Linked DNA regions of Caenorhabditis elegans. The protein of the gene in region 2 interacts with the protein of the main gene of each other region in a pairwise test. Each region holds a gene or a part of one and is shown on either strand. Other genes may lie near its edges.

What was found.
Region 1: the proteins of ZC239.15 (region 2) and ech-8 interact in a two-hybrid assay, tested with the Caenorhabditis elegans proteins (one large-scale study listed by BioGRID).
Region 3: the proteins of ZC239.15 (region 2) and gst-15 interact in a two-hybrid assay, tested with the Caenorhabditis elegans proteins (one large-scale study listed by BioGRID).

The regions. Positions count from the first base shown.
Region 1 is NC_003282.8:10,235,560-10,241,349, reverse strand, and holds ech-8 (Enoyl-CoA Hydratase), read left to right. Parts: upstream 1-2,173; 5' UTR 2,174-2,235; coding exon 2,236-2,298; intron 2,299-2,829; coding exon 2,830-2,985; intron 2,986-3,035; coding exon 3,036-3,179; intron 3,180-3,227; coding exon 3,228-3,347; intron 3,348-3,392; coding exon 3,393-3,819; intron 3,820-4,146; coding exon 4,147-4,268; intron 4,269-4,314; coding exon 4,315-4,412; intron 4,413-4,467; coding exon 4,468-4,651; 3' UTR 4,652-4,724; downstream 4,725-5,790. Other genes in the region: lipl-7 (Lipase), read left to right, coding at 69-436, 804-1,285, 1,334-1,445, 1,949-2,026.
Region 2 is NC_003280.10:3,222,560-3,227,093, forward strand, and holds ZC239.15 (BTB domain-containing protein), read right to left. Parts: upstream 2,173-4,534; 5' UTR 2,085-2,172; coding exon 1,974-2,084; intron 1,929-1,973; coding exon 1,659-1,928; intron 1,346-1,658; coding exon 1,234-1,345; intron 1,192-1,233; coding exon 986-1,191; 3' UTR 774-985; downstream 1-773. Other genes in the region: ZC239.13 (BTB domain-containing protein), read right to left, coding at 1-94, 145-255; ZC239.16 (BTB domain-containing protein), read right to left, coding at 2,211-2,567, 2,616-2,726; ZC239.17 (Potassium channel tetramerization-type BTB domain-containing protein), read right to left, coding at 2,923-3,321.
Region 3 is NC_003280.10:13,610,704-13,615,371, forward strand, and holds gst-15 (glutathione transferase), read right to left. Parts: upstream 2,494-4,668; 5' UTR 2,441-2,493; coding exon 2,296-2,440; intron 1,625-2,295; coding exon 1,128-1,624; 3' UTR 1,067-1,127; downstream 1-1,066. Other genes in the region: gst-24 (glutathione transferase), read right to left, coding at 1-267, 453-591; gst-14 (glutathione transferase), read right to left, coding at 4,148-4,641.

The DNA of each region.
Region 1 (5,790 bases), on a different chromosome or scaffold from region 2:
TTGAATAATTTAATATACATTGAATTTTGCTGTGAATTACCTTTGATATCATCTCTAATATTTTTCAGAAAAATGTGACAGAAGCTCAAAACGTCCAATAGTATTCATGCAACACGGCCTCCTTGCGGACGGATTCTCTTGGATTCCGAATCTAGCAAATCAATCGGCTGGTTTTGTTTTCGCCGATGCAGGTTTTGATATTTGGATTGCAAATAGCCGTGGAACTCCTGCATCACAAAAACATATTGGCTATGGACCGGAAAATCAGAAATTTTGGAATTTCACGTGGCAACAAATGTCGGAATTTGATTTGACAGCGAGTGTGGATTTGGTATTGAAGGAGACAAAACAAGAGTTTTTATATTATTTGGGACACTCACAAGGAACTATGATTATGTTCTCAAGACTTGCAGAAAATCCAGAATTTGCAAAGAAGGTATTTCAATTTATTGCTAGACACAGAGAATTTTAAAACAAATCTAATTCGTTTCTAATTATAATTAGTCAGACAGTTTTTCGGCACCCGTGCGATGAAGGATGTATTTGACATGTTTTTGTATGACTACTCGTATTATGGGGTATTGTAGTTACAAACAGTACATTTTGTTGTGACTACTTATGTAGTTGCCGTAATCCAACATTTGTTTCTCAAGCTCATGCTTTGCACAAAATTGAAAATCACGATCAGTATATATTTATAGTTTCTGTATGCTAACAAACATTTTCTTTGTAGAAAGTTACATACGATCAGTTAATATGCTTTTAGTCTTTCTTTACCTCCTCAAAAGCAACAATAATTTAAGATTCGTCATTTCCATGCATTGGCTCCAGTTGCAACAGTATCCCATATCGGTGGTCTATTTGGATTGTTTGGGACAAAGTTTCTAACTTATGCAGAAATCTTGCTCGGTCGACTTCCATACTCTCCACTGTCAATTCCGCGAACTGTTCAAAAAATGATAAGTTACATGTGCAGCAGATTCTTTATGCAAAATATTTGTACATTGGACATCGGTTTCATTGATGGAAATGAGAAAATGTTCAATCAATCAAGAGTTGGTGTATATCTTTGTCATACACCTGCAGCCACTTCTGTAAAAGATTTGCAACACTGGATTCAACTTGTCAAATCACAGACTGTTTCTAAGTTTGATTATGGAACTGATGGAAATATCATTGAATACGGGCAACCTACTCCTCCGGAATATGATTTGACACAGATCAACACACCAACTTATCTCTATTGGAGTCGTGACGACATTTTGGCTGATACTCAAGATATTCGGTTAATCAATTATATTAGTTTTGATGTAACTAAATGAATGATTTGTAGAGACTCGATTCTGTCAAAAATGAATAAAACAATCGCTGGATCACTGGAACTTCCACACTACAGTCATATGGATTTTGTATTCGGTACGCATGCTGCATTTGATTTATATCCGGTAAGTCTGAAATCAAATTTCCTACTGAATAATATCTTTTCATTAACGTTAGACCGCGCATCTGTAATATTTACACTTTGTCAAATTTTGGTAAAACCTTTTGATTTGGTTTTGATCAGGCCTTGGTAAAGACTTCATGTGTGCGTTCTGGAAGGTTAAAAAAAATGAAAGTTGGTGGGTCAGACTTAGGTCACCTCATATTTGAAATCTGTAACACGTTCCGAGCAAAGTTTGACCAATTTCTGGCCAAGGTGTATTCAAAATGTGGTCACTCTTTCTAGACATTGAACAGAAAACATTTGAAAAGGAACGGCTTCTGCAGAAATTCTCTCTAACATAAATTAATAGAGTTCCAAAATATTTCAATTCCTTATTTTCCCACTTTTTCGTTTTTGAGCAATGGTCCAAATTTTCCAAAATGCCGGGTTTGGTTGTTCTTAATGTTATATTCTTATTTTTGAAATTACATAATAAGGAGTTATTTAAAAACAAATTTATTCCAGAAAATCATCGAAACTATCCAAGATGACTACAACAAATATCGAATCACTCGGATGCACAAATTGAAGAAACATTTATGATTTTTCATCGATTTTTTTTCAAAAATAAATAAAACCGTGTTTTATTGTTGTTTTAATGGCCAAAATGTACCTATAGGCTACAATGTTCTTCTTATCAATTGATCGCTAACGTGGGACACATCTGGCATATATCAATGCAATTTCTTTAGATCTTTTAATTCGTTACAATTGGTTTTATTTTGAAATTTAGATTTTTGAAATTCAGAAAAATGGATAAAGTGCCACAAGCAGTGAGGGACTATTTGATGGAGGCTCATCAATTGGCGGCTCAGGTAACTTTGAAAACTAAAATAATAAAGTTTTTTGAATGAGAAATTAGTTATTTTCCGCTTTTCCGTATCCGTGGGCACTCTGTAGATTTGTGAATTGTTTGTTTTTGGTATTTTTCAGTGAGGGAAGACCACTTTTCGGCAGAATTTTGAATTGAGCAATGGTAGAAATCACTAAAACGATATCGTTTATAGTATATAGAGAACAGAAAATAGCTGAAGTTACAGATTTCGATTTCATTGATAATATAAAATATTAGTTCATCCGGCAAACATCGGAATAATATTTTTTTAAAGTATTTTTCAAATATCGAAGAGCACGACTATATGATTCAATGGCAAAATTCTAAGTTGTGGTGAAAAATAATAATAAACAAGAAAATCCCTTGATTAGTCAGTTGCCAAAATTTTTGAAGAACTTGCTCGAGAAAAACGCGCATTTTTACACTTTGCAAAGTTTTTCAGCATTCAGCTTTAACAATATCTGAAAATCACAATTTTTTTACATCAGAATATGAAAATTGATCATTTCAGTGGTCTCTTCCAAATGATCGCGGTGACTACATAAATTCGAAATCAATTCCAATCAAATCAGTGGCTGTAATTGGAGGTGGAACCATGGGAAGAGGAATTGCAATCGCATTTTGTTTATCAGGATTTGAGACGTATCTTGTCGAAGTTAACAATAAGGTAGCCATAAAGTTTAAAAATAATATCAATTCAGTTAAACTTGTTTGCAGGCTGCCGAATTCTGTAAAAATGAATTGGAAATCACTTACAAAAGGGAAAAAGCATTTCGAAGACTGAACGATTCAAAAGTTGAAAAATTGAGAAAAAATCTACAGATAACTACAGATTTTCAAAAGCTAAATAATTGTGATTTGGTGAGTTTTTGTTTTTATTTTCAAAAGAAAAAAAAAGAAAAATTTCAGATTGTAGAAGCCGTTTTTGAAGATATGAAACTGAAAAAGGAACTTTTCACTAAACTTGATAAAATTTGCAAACCATCATGTATTTTTGGAACCAACACATCAAGTTTAGATTTGAATGAGGTACGCTTTAAGTTAACTATTCCAAAAGAACATGTTCACTTTCAGATGTCATCAGTACTTAGAGATCCAACAAAAGTAGTTGGAATTCATTTTTTCAATCCGGCAAATTTGATTCGAATGGTTGAAGTGATCTACGGATCGAAAACTTCCTCCAAAGCAGTTGCTACAGCTTTTGAAGCATGTAGATCTATCAAAAAGCTACCAGTTCTTGTGGGAAACTGTCCAGCATTTGTATTTAACCGGCTACTTGGAGTTTATCTGAATCAGAGTCAAAAGTTGATGTATGAATACGGATATCTTCCTCATCAAATTGATAAAATCATTACAAACTTTGGATTCCTAATGGGTCCTTTAACAGTAGCTGATATGAATGGATTAGATGTAATGGAAAAGTTGAAAAAGGAGAATGGATGGCCAGCAAGTGATTTTGAAAAGGAAGTTTGGAGACAAAAGAGATACGGTAGAAAAACAAGTACGTCTTTAAATAAATTGTGAAATGAACTGAGAAACGGATAATTTCAATTTCTTTGGAGTATCACCAGCGGCAAATAGTTATACATAGGTTAAAAAACAAATACCTTCGCTCCGGCTATAAGAAAAGTTTGAAATATTTGACAAGCTGAAGTCTGAAATTTTTAAAATATTTTTTCAGTGGTAATGATAAGTGCCAATCAAAATTTTGAACGTTCCAGAAGGAAAACCGGAAATTATTGTTTTCAATTTATTTTTTCAAAATGAAGATTTTCAAAACTGTCACGAAAAGCCCAATATTTTTTACCAATTTAGGTGTAATTTTCAGATAAGGGATACTACAAATATGATCCAAATACTCACAAAAAGGAGAATGATATAGAAATGGAGCAGCTCATTCGAAAATTTTCTTCAGCTGCAAGTCCAAATATACAAATTTTGAACGATCAGGTACTCACTTTCTAATTTCATTCAAATTCAACCGAAAACTTACCAGGATGCCGTCAATTTCCTCTTGTATCCCATGGTCAACGAAGGTCTTTTGTGCATTGAGGAAGGAATCATCCATCATGAAAGTTTGATCGATATCATGTTGTAAGTAAAACTTAATTTCAAAAAAAAATTAAAATTATGAGCACAATTGTTTCAGCATTCTCGGGTTTGGATGGCCTGTTGCTACTGGTGGTCCGATGAGATTTGGATGGCTTCAAGGAATTGAAAAAGTTGCGAGCACAATTATTCTCTGGAATTCTTTAGAACCAAATGATAGAACATACAAAGTTGCGGCCACGTTGCAAAATGTGGACAGGAAGAATTTTGCAGCGAAATTATAAATTTTGTAGTTCGTTACCATGTTCAAAGAGATGATTATTGTAAAAACATAAATAAATACCCTGTATACAATTGATCTACTATGTACAAGAAATGACATGCTGGGGATTATAAATTTTGTCGAAAGTTTGATGCAAATCAATCTGCAAGACCAATTGCCCATCTCTAATTCTGAAAATTAAAATGTCTTCTGTATTTTTTTGGATAAACCCCGTGAGGTGCACAAATAATAATTATAAAAATAAAAGTACGGTACATTTAGCGAAAAACGGATCTTGAGACATTCAATTGTACACTTATCATTATTATCAGTAACATGGATTTTGTGGGCGTTTTTCGTATTTCAACCGGACAAGCACTGTCATATGAAATCAACCCTTACTCTTAGACATTTGAGCTTGAAAATTGATAAGAAAGTGGAAGTAAATGTTGCCTTACAGAATCACAAAAATCAACATAAAGACTGCCTTGCTGAAATGACGTTTTGTATTAAAAAATATTACTGATTGTGTTGGGATTAAAAATTTGATATCAAAACGAAAAATACTTGGTAAATAGGTAGAACACACATTTTTTCAAGAAAAAAGTGTTTCCTCTGGTGCTCGATATGACCGACAATAAACTTCAAATTTTTAGCTGTACTCTGTAGGGCACAATAATTATATTTAAAAATTTCAGTTCAAGCCAACTTCTGTACAAAATCCACCTTTAAAAAATTTCAGACAACACTTTGTTGAGCCCTACCAGAGATACGCGTCCATCTGCATTATTTTTCAAAAAAGTTGGCGATAGTTTTTTGTTCGGATATCGTAATAATCTCACGATATGCTGCGCTATGAAAATTGGATGTTTTTCAAAGTATCAAAACAAGTTATAGCCTAACATCTTAATTTAGTAAACAACTCCAAATAAATCACATATGTATGTACATATACAGATAAGAAACAATAAACTATACACAGAAATATTCACAAGGCACATGTTTGCACTTGATTTTTGAATTATCTAGATCTAGACGGAATTTCGTGTTTTACTCTTAAACAAAGACGACAGTGTACTGAAAGCACCAAAGTCTCATCAGCTCTTATCATCAATGAATCAACAAACAGACAGTGACAACATCGACTAGATCATTTTCTGT
Region 2 (4,534 bases):
GTGACAGGTCACCATCTCTCATGAAATTTAAAATCCTGTTAAAATGTTTCGGGGAGCGATCGATAAAAATGCATCCGGATTCGTCAAGTTCCAGCTGAAAATTTTCAAGTTTTCAAATCAGGTAAGAAATCAATATCATGAAACCCCTGTTCCAGATTCCAGCATAGTTTTAAAAATGCTATCGAGTTTCATTAATGTATCTTTTGAAGTTTTGAAAATAGTTCCGCCAACGTCTAGTTTAACAGTTTCACTCATTTTTGAAAAGTTTTTGAGAGGAAAAAGAGAGAAAAACGGAGTGAAATTGTGTTATCAGTGAGCCGATCGATTTTGAATTATCAGTGTTGCGAAATTTTGTTTTTTTTTTTACAAAAAAATCAAAAATGTTAAGAAATAAAAAAAAACTTCTGAATTGAAAATATTGTCAAAAAATCCACAAAATGAGTTAATTATCTCTTTCTCTGCTTCTCCAAATACAAATATTGACCAAACTCCCCAATCATTTTTTCTAATTTTTCCAAAAAAGTTGCATCCCGAATTATCCGTCCGCCTCGATTAATTCGAAGATTGTGCGGAAATTGACTATAATATCCATTCTCGGTAGATTTCCACTTTATCCTAGCTTTCCATTTTCGAGAAGGTTCGTCTTCACTCAATCGCTCTTAATCGATTACGGTAATCAGACCCTTTCACATTCAAACATAGTTTTGAATAATCCATCACATTTTATTAATGTCGGTCTTGAAGTTTTAAAAATAGTTCCGCCGATGTCTAGTTTAACAACCTTGTTCATATTTTAAAATAGTTACGGTTTGAGGCACAGATGCAACCAAACTCAAAAAATAAAAATAAGAATGTTTGTTATCAATCAGACTTTGAACTTATCCATGTGTTTTGTGTTTAAAGATAAAAAAACAAGCTTACTAAATTATAATTTTTTAAGCTTCTAAATTAGAAATATTGTCGAAAAATCCATAAAATAAGTTAATTATCTATTCCTCTGCTTCTTCAAATACTCATCAAACTCCCCGATCATTTTTTCCAATCGTTCCAAAAATGTTGCATCCCGTATTATCCGTCCACCTCGATTAATTCGAAGATTGTGTGGAAATTGACTGTAATATCCATTCTCAGTAGGTTTCCATTTTATCCTTGCTTTCCATTTGCGAGAAGGTTCGTCTTCACTCAATCGCTCTGAATTGACTATTTTATGAGGATAATGTACAAAAAACTTACGAAAATAAATATCGAACTGATGTGAATACTTTTCCATGAACTCGTAAAGATTAAAGTTATAGGGAATCGACATATCATTCCCAACCATGCAAAATTCAATTATGAGCATTGGCTGTAAAAATTATATGTAGAGCTGAAATTTTTTGAAGAAACTGGTTAATTATTTTATGATTGACAAACGCCATACAGTGTGGCCTTACTATTAGGACTACAGCTTGCACTGGCCTATAGTTTAAGCCACGTCCTAGCCAGGGACTGTGGCCGATAATACAGTCATGGATTGCTCCACTCTCCAATACAGACTGGGTGAACCTAGGGGATGAGTCTAAACTTGAAACCGCAACCTCTAGCTTTCTAGCAGCTACCACTACCGACTGAGATATTCCTATGAATTTGAAAAACTACATTATTTTATCGAAACTCACCTTCTGTTGAACAGCAAGAATTTGAAGAAATTGTTCATCGCTTTCAATAAATCGAAGTTTTATCTTTGGAGCTTCAACAAGCTCAATCTTTGAATTGCACAACTCAATGAGTCCGTCGAGCAAATAGAATTGAGCTTCTACTAGCAGCTCCTTCAGTTTCAATTCACAATTGGGTAGAACCACGTCGCCGTCTCGCATAAAGTTCAGTATCAAGTCGAAATTTTTCGGAGACCGATCAATAAAAATACTCCCAGATTCGTCAATTTTTAGCTGAAAATTTGAAAATTTATCGGGAAATTTTTGGAAAAATCGGACCCCAATGTCACTCTCCAACATAGTTTTGAAAAATCCATTGAACTTTGTTAATGTAGATCTTGAAGTTTTGAATATAGTTCCACCAACGTCCAATTTCACAGTTTCACTCATTTTCGAAGAGTTTTCTAGGGGAGAAAAAGAGAAAGATGGAGTAAAATTTTGTTATCAGTTATAAGATTATCGATCAGTACATATTTCAAAATGATTTTTTTTAACAAAAATTAAAATTTCCAACAACTAAAAAAGATAACATTTATTTCTTTTTTCAACAATAAAATAGCCTTTTAGTGCAGGCATGTAATACACAAACACTAAAACCAAAAAAATTATTGAAAAAACAAAAAACCATGATAAATCATATTTTTTAGTGTTTGCTCTTTGATCAATTTGGACCTTTTTTGTAGAATTAAGTTTATCACAGCACATTAAGACTAGACCATCCAACCAGTAGAATTGAGCTTCTGCCATCAATTCTCTCAGCTCTCTTTCATCTTCTGGCAGTGGCAGATCACCATCTCTCATTAAATTCAGAATCAATTCAAAGTGTTTCGGGGACCGATCTATGAAAATGCATCCGGTTTTTTCAATTTTCGGCTGGAAATTTTCACGTTTTTTTTTGGAAAAAAACAACGATTTTCATACCCCAGTTTTGCATTCCAACATAGTTTTGAAAAAGCTATGGAACTTTGTTAATGTATCTTTTGAAGTTTTGAATATAGTTCCGCCAACGTCTAGTTTAATAATTTCACTCATTTTTGGAGAGTTTTTGAAAAAAATTGTAGAGGAGAAAAAGAGGAAAGTGAAATGAAGGTTTGTTATCAGTGAGTCGATCGATTTGAAGTTATCAGTGTTTTCAATTGATTTTTTTCCATACTATAATAGGTTTACGTTCGGGTCTGTTCACATTTCTATGATAGCATAATACAATGAAAATTGCGTTTAATAGCCACTAAAATAGGTAGCATTTACTAGATTTTTCAACAATAAAATAGCTTTTTAGTGCAGGGATGTAATACACAAATACCAAAAAAATTAATGAAAAAACAAAAAAACGAGTATAACTATTATTTTTAGTTATTGGTTTTTGATTTTGAATCATTCGGAAGTTTATTATAGTGCTAAGTTTCACACCGCACTTATTGTACAGTCCAAACATCTGATAGTAATTTGCTTCCGCACACAACTCTCTCAATTCCTTCTCAGTTTCGGGCAACCACAGATTCCCATCTCTCATTAAGTTCAGAATTAACTCGAAGTGTTTCGGGGAACGATCAATAAAAATGCATCCGGATTTTTCGAGTTTCGGCTGAAAATGTTCAGGTTTTTGGAGAAATATAGTCAGCAACATTATACCGCAATATCACTTTCAAACATAGTTTTAAAAAAGCTATCGAGTTTCGTTAATGTATCTTTTGAAGTTTTGAATATAGTTCCACCAACGTCTAGTTTAATAATTTCGCACATTTTTTGGAGAGTTTTTAAAAAAATTGTGGGGAAGAGAAATGAAGAAAGTGAGATGAAGTTTTGTTATCAGTAAGTCTATCGATTTGCAATTAACAGCCATTTTTATATTTTTAACAAATTTTAGGAAATAGTGGCGGTGGAGTTTTTTTCAAGACATGTATAGAAAACTTTCCGATTTCCGCTTTTGCAAATTGTGCAAAATTTCTGAAGGAATTTTTATAAGAAAAAACGGATGACACATATTTTTGACATTTTTTCTCGTTTTCAGCAAGAATTCTAATATATTTTTTCTCATTTTTCATGTAAGATACGTGTAATTTTGCAGTTACAACTGAAATTTCAAAATTTCCAATAAAAAATGCAATACCTCAGTCGAAATTTTTCGGCAATTGAAGTTTTTGGCAGCTTCACAAAAAATTGAAAAATTTCCCATATTTTTTGAAACCAGCAGTTTCCGAAGATTCCAATTGCCAAAAATTTTCAAAACACTACAGTTTAAAATTGGGGTTATAACTTCATTTTTTTTTGTTTTTATAATCATACAGTGTGGGAAAGTTCTATAGGACCCCCCCTAATTTGAAGGTTTGAGGAACTTCCGAAAATTTTTTCGAAAAACTGCTAATGCCGTTCGTTTTTAAATTGAAAAAAACCTATATAAATTTTTTTCCAGAAGTTTATCTCAAAAACTGAGGTCGCGCTGGAAAAAACGTCAAAATCCAGTGTGAAACTTCTATAGGACCCCCCGTTTTTTTTCACGATTTTTACTAAAATCAACAGATTTTGGAATTTTTGACAAAGCTCAAATCAAGTTTGAGTTAGAAATGAGTTCATATAAGCAGTTTTGACTTTAAAAAATTAATACGAAATGTTCTCGTGGGATCTCCAGACTGGTTCTGATTCTTCCGATCTTTGATGTTCAAGTCTGTTTCAAGCTTCCTGGTGCTCTCGGTAATGCCAAAACTTGATAAACTCTCTTTAACAAGTTCCTACTAAAATTCCTAGCACGCACTTTAGATGTTTCGACTGTGTAGTCAAGCTGATTTGGCAAAATATGCAGCAGGAAACAATGGAAGGCTTATCAGGAATCAAATCGTTTT
Region 3 (4,668 bases), about 10 Mb from region 2:
TGAAGAATGTATCCCGGGCCGGCGCGAAGACCTCCTTTTGGATTCGCTCGATTTCCTCCGCATTTCCGGATCTTTGAGCCATGATGAGTTGGCGTAGTGGGGTGACGAAGTCTTTGAATTGATCTACGATTGCATCCACCCACGCTTCTTCCTCTGATGTTTTTCCAGCGTAGCCGAATTTTTTGGCAAGGTAGCGGAGAATTGCAGCGGATTGGGGGATTTCGAAGCCATCGACTGAGAGGAATGGGAGCTGACCAAATGGGGTTTCTGGAAGATTCCTGGGTTGGGATTCAGACTTAGGCTTAGGTTTAGGCTTTCGCTTAGGCTTAGGTATAGTCATAGGCCGAGGCATAGGCTTAGGCTTAGAGTGGACCACCGTATCTGATTTTTAAAAAATTCTCAAAATCCGTGACAGTTATACAAATACCACTAAAAATGTTTCAAAAACTCACTTGGCTTCAACGCTCCCCACTCTGGAGTTCCATTCTCAATACGAACATCCTCAAACTCGACGTGAGCCAGCTTGAAGAGCTGCCGAGCCGGCTCAGCCCATCCACGAAGGTTGAAATAGTAGAGCTTGTATTGTGGCATTGTTTGTTGATGGGAGATGATTGAGTAGTACTTTATATACACAAAGTCGTTTCGAAAATCTCCGAAATTGAGGGGAGGGAGAGTGAGAGAAATAGAGAAATAGAAGAGTGGTTTGTGTTTTTGCGAAGAAACACTGGTCACAAAACAAAAAGTCAGAAAATTGGAAAAATTTTTGAAAAATTCAGAAAATGCATCAAAAGCTGTTTTTTTTTCAAAAATTCAAAAGTACTGAAAAATCATATGAAGTGCTTCATTTTTCTTTTATAAAACTGTTTAGCATGATAAAATATACCAAAAAATATTAAATAAAATTTGCTAACTTGTACGGAAGATTATTTTAAAAAGTTCAGAAAATACATCAAAAGCTGTTTTTTTCAAAAATTCAAAAGTACTGAAAAATCATATGGAGCCCTGTTGCACTTCTCGCACTATTATTTCAAAAAAAAGTATTTCGGTAAAAAAATATCCGCATAAAATACTACAATATGTTTATTATCTTTTATCACAGTTTTTAAAAATTCAACGCGATTCAAAATTTAGACTTCTGTATCCATTCTCGTCGCAATATGATCCTCCAAATCTGGGGTTCCATAGATTTTCTCCTTATACTTTTTCAAATTCTGATGTCCTTCATCATCATCATCGATGGCTCGAAGCTTCTCCAGACTGTGCAAATTATCAGCTATAACTAGATCAGCCCATGTGAGCCCATCACCAACTAAATAACCTGACTTGCTCTTTTTGAGAATTCGATTGAGAAGAATAAAGTAGACATCTCGAGCTGGATTGAAAATCTCGTAGCGGATTTTGAGGATTTCTTCTTCTGGTTTCCCGGCCCTTGTGGCAAAAAGGAGTGTTTTAAAAGCAACGGAGAAGTCTTTGAATTGGTCGACAACGGCGTCCGCCCACGCTTCTTCTTCTGGAGTTTTTCCGGCATAACCAAATTTCTTGGCAAGGTATCGACAAATTGCAGCAGATTGGGGGATGTCGAAGCCATCAACGTTGAGTACTGGGAGCTGACCAAATGGGGTTTCTGGAAGTTGAATTAATTATGGCAGGTCTTCTTTGTAGGCACGCTTGCCTACATGCCTACGTCTGCCATCGTGTGTTCATACTCTCAGTTTGTAATCGAACATTTTATACTTAACACAAATATTTGAAATCTGCGCTAAACAAGAAGTCACAATGGAGAGCACGTAGGCAGGCAGGCAAAAAGTAGGCGCGTACGCCTGAAGATCTTATGAAACCCTAAAGCTGGATGTAGTGACTTTCTATTTATACGAAAAAAAAACAGAAATATCTAATCCTTTCTACAAGCTACAAACTACAAACTACAATATACAAACTACAAACTACAATCTGCAGACTACAAACTACAACCTATATTCTACATAATACGAATTACGGACTACAAGTAACAAACTATTTTTTTGACAAAAATTAATTTTTCAAAATACTTTCGTACCAAAAAACCTTTTACAAACTACAAACTAGCACCTACAAACTACAAACTACAAATTAAAAACTACAAACTACAGACTACAAACTACGAACTACAAACTACAAACTACAAAAAGATTTTTCCCCGAAAGCCAAGAAATTTAATGTTTTTTAGTTCAAACTTTTTCAAATTAAGTGTGGCATCAGTAACTACAAACTACAAACTACAAACTACAAGCAACACATTTCACTTTAAGAACTTACTGTCTCTCATTTTCTCCCATTTCCCTTCAGTATCGGCCATTGGAATCCGAATATCATCGTATGGAGTATGCGAGAGATGGAAAAGCTGTCGAGCCGGCTCAGCCCATCCACGTAGATCAAAATATGTTAGCTTGTATTGTGGCATTTTATTTCTGGAAGATTGAAAAAGGTGGATTCGAAAATCGACAAAATTGAGTGGAAAAAGCGAGGTCTCTAACAGTCTAAGTCTATTTATTTGAGGCTTACGTCTCTAAGCAAAAATATAATATGGGAATTGGAAATCGGTGGTCTTTGAGCATTGTGATAAAAAAGAGCACAAAATTTAAAATTTCAAAATAAAAGAAAAATAAGAGAAATAAAAACGATTTTTTGGAAATTTACATTTTTTTGCAGGACACGTTTCGAAAAAAACCCCACTTTGAAAAGAGAAGAAGAGCTTTTTCAAATTTTTTTTGGGTTTAAGTCACAGAAAATAGGTCGTAATAACCAAATATAACTGTCAAAAAATTTTAAAAATTTTCTAAATTTTTAATAATTTTTTTCCATTTGAAAAAAAAAACGTCCGAATTAAATTTGAATTCCCGCGCGAATGAGTGACGTCATTCTATGCATTTTCGCTTTTTCTGGCTAATTTTGGAGGGGTTTCTTGATATGTCTTCTACATTTGATTTAAATCGCCGTTTGTCAATTTTTCAAACATTCAATTTTCTAAAACAAAAAAAATATAAAGAAATATTAAATTTCCGTTTTTTAGACCAATTTCTTCCATGTTACGGAAAAAAGTTTTCAATTTGAAAAACAATTGCCGAATTTGTGTTTTAAATCAAATATAGAAGAAAATTTTAAAAAAAAACGCATAAATTTAGCCAAAAATGACGTCACTCATTTGCGCGAGAATTCAAATATAATTTGGGCATTTCTTTGATTTTTGAAAAATTGAAAAAAAAAATCATTAAAAATTTTTTTAAAAACATATTGTTTGGGCAATTTATTGTAAAAAATCACAAATTTTAAAACTCCTCTAAAATGGTTCATTTTGAATTTAGTTAGAGAACTCAAAATTGATCTACAAACACTAAAAAATTGCCCTTTTTCAATTTCCAGTGGTTCCAAACGTTTTAAGAAAAATCTTTTTTTTTGCCCAAAAAAAAGGACAGTCATTAGATGGCTTTAAAAAAATTGGGCAAAAAAATTTTTGGCTAAATTTGTTGAAAACGGGTAATTCGTGTATGCTGAATTCAGAAAATCTATGTTTAACCCATCAAAAACTATAACGTGGCAAAAATGGGCAATTTATGGCAAAAAATCACAATTTTGAAACTCCTCTAAAATGGTCAATTTTATAGATAGAGGACTCAAAATTGATCTGCAAACACTAAAAAATTGCCCTTTTTCAATTTCCAGTAGTTTCGAACGGTTTCAGAGAAATTTTTTTTGCCCAAAAAAAGGACAGTCCTTAGATGGCTGAAAAAAATTGGGCAAAAATAAAATGCCGTCTAAATTTGTTGAAAATAGGTAATTAATATATGCAAACTTCAGAAACTCTGCTCCATCTTTAATTCAACTTGGCATAAGTATAAAAATAAAAATGAATTGTAAAAAACCAACAAAAAAAAATCCAGAACAATCATTCTTTAGAAAACCTCCTTCGTTTTTATTTTGTTATTCTCCCCTACCCTTTCTGTTCACCAAACATCACATTTTCTTGTTTACCCCCCCCCCCCCCCCCCACGTGAGAGAGTATTGACAAGGACATTTCGGCGGCAGTCAACATTAATGAAGTTTCTGGTTGTCAAAGGAAACTTCTTTATTTTGTTTTTGAATATGGAAAACATGTTAGTAAGATTAAAAATTAGATCTCCGTTACTGGACGACTTGCGATATAGCTCTTCAGATTGGGGTGGGAATACACTTTTTCGAGATGAGCTGCTAGTTTTGGTTGCTCTCCAGAAGCTTCTAGGAGCCCATATTTTTTCAGTGTTTGAATGTTGTCAGCGATATAAAGATCCGCGAAGGTGATTGAATCTCCGATCAGATATCCTGACTTGCTCTTTTCCAGTAGGCCATTGAGAACTTTGAAGTACACATCCATAGCAGGTTTTATAACTTCAGCCGTTAACTTTTCCAGTTCTTCAGCAGATTTTCCGACTCGTTTTGCAATGACTAGTTTTCTGAATTCCGCAAAGAAATCTTTGAATTGATCGACGACGGCGTCTACCCAAGCTTCTTCCTCTGGAGTTTTTCCAGCGAACCCGAATTTTCTAGCAAGGTAGCGATTTATGGCAGCAGATTGTGGGATTTCGAAGTCATCGACGGTGAGGACAGGCAATTGTCCCATTGGGGTTTCTGGAATTCGATATATAGCAGGGGTGG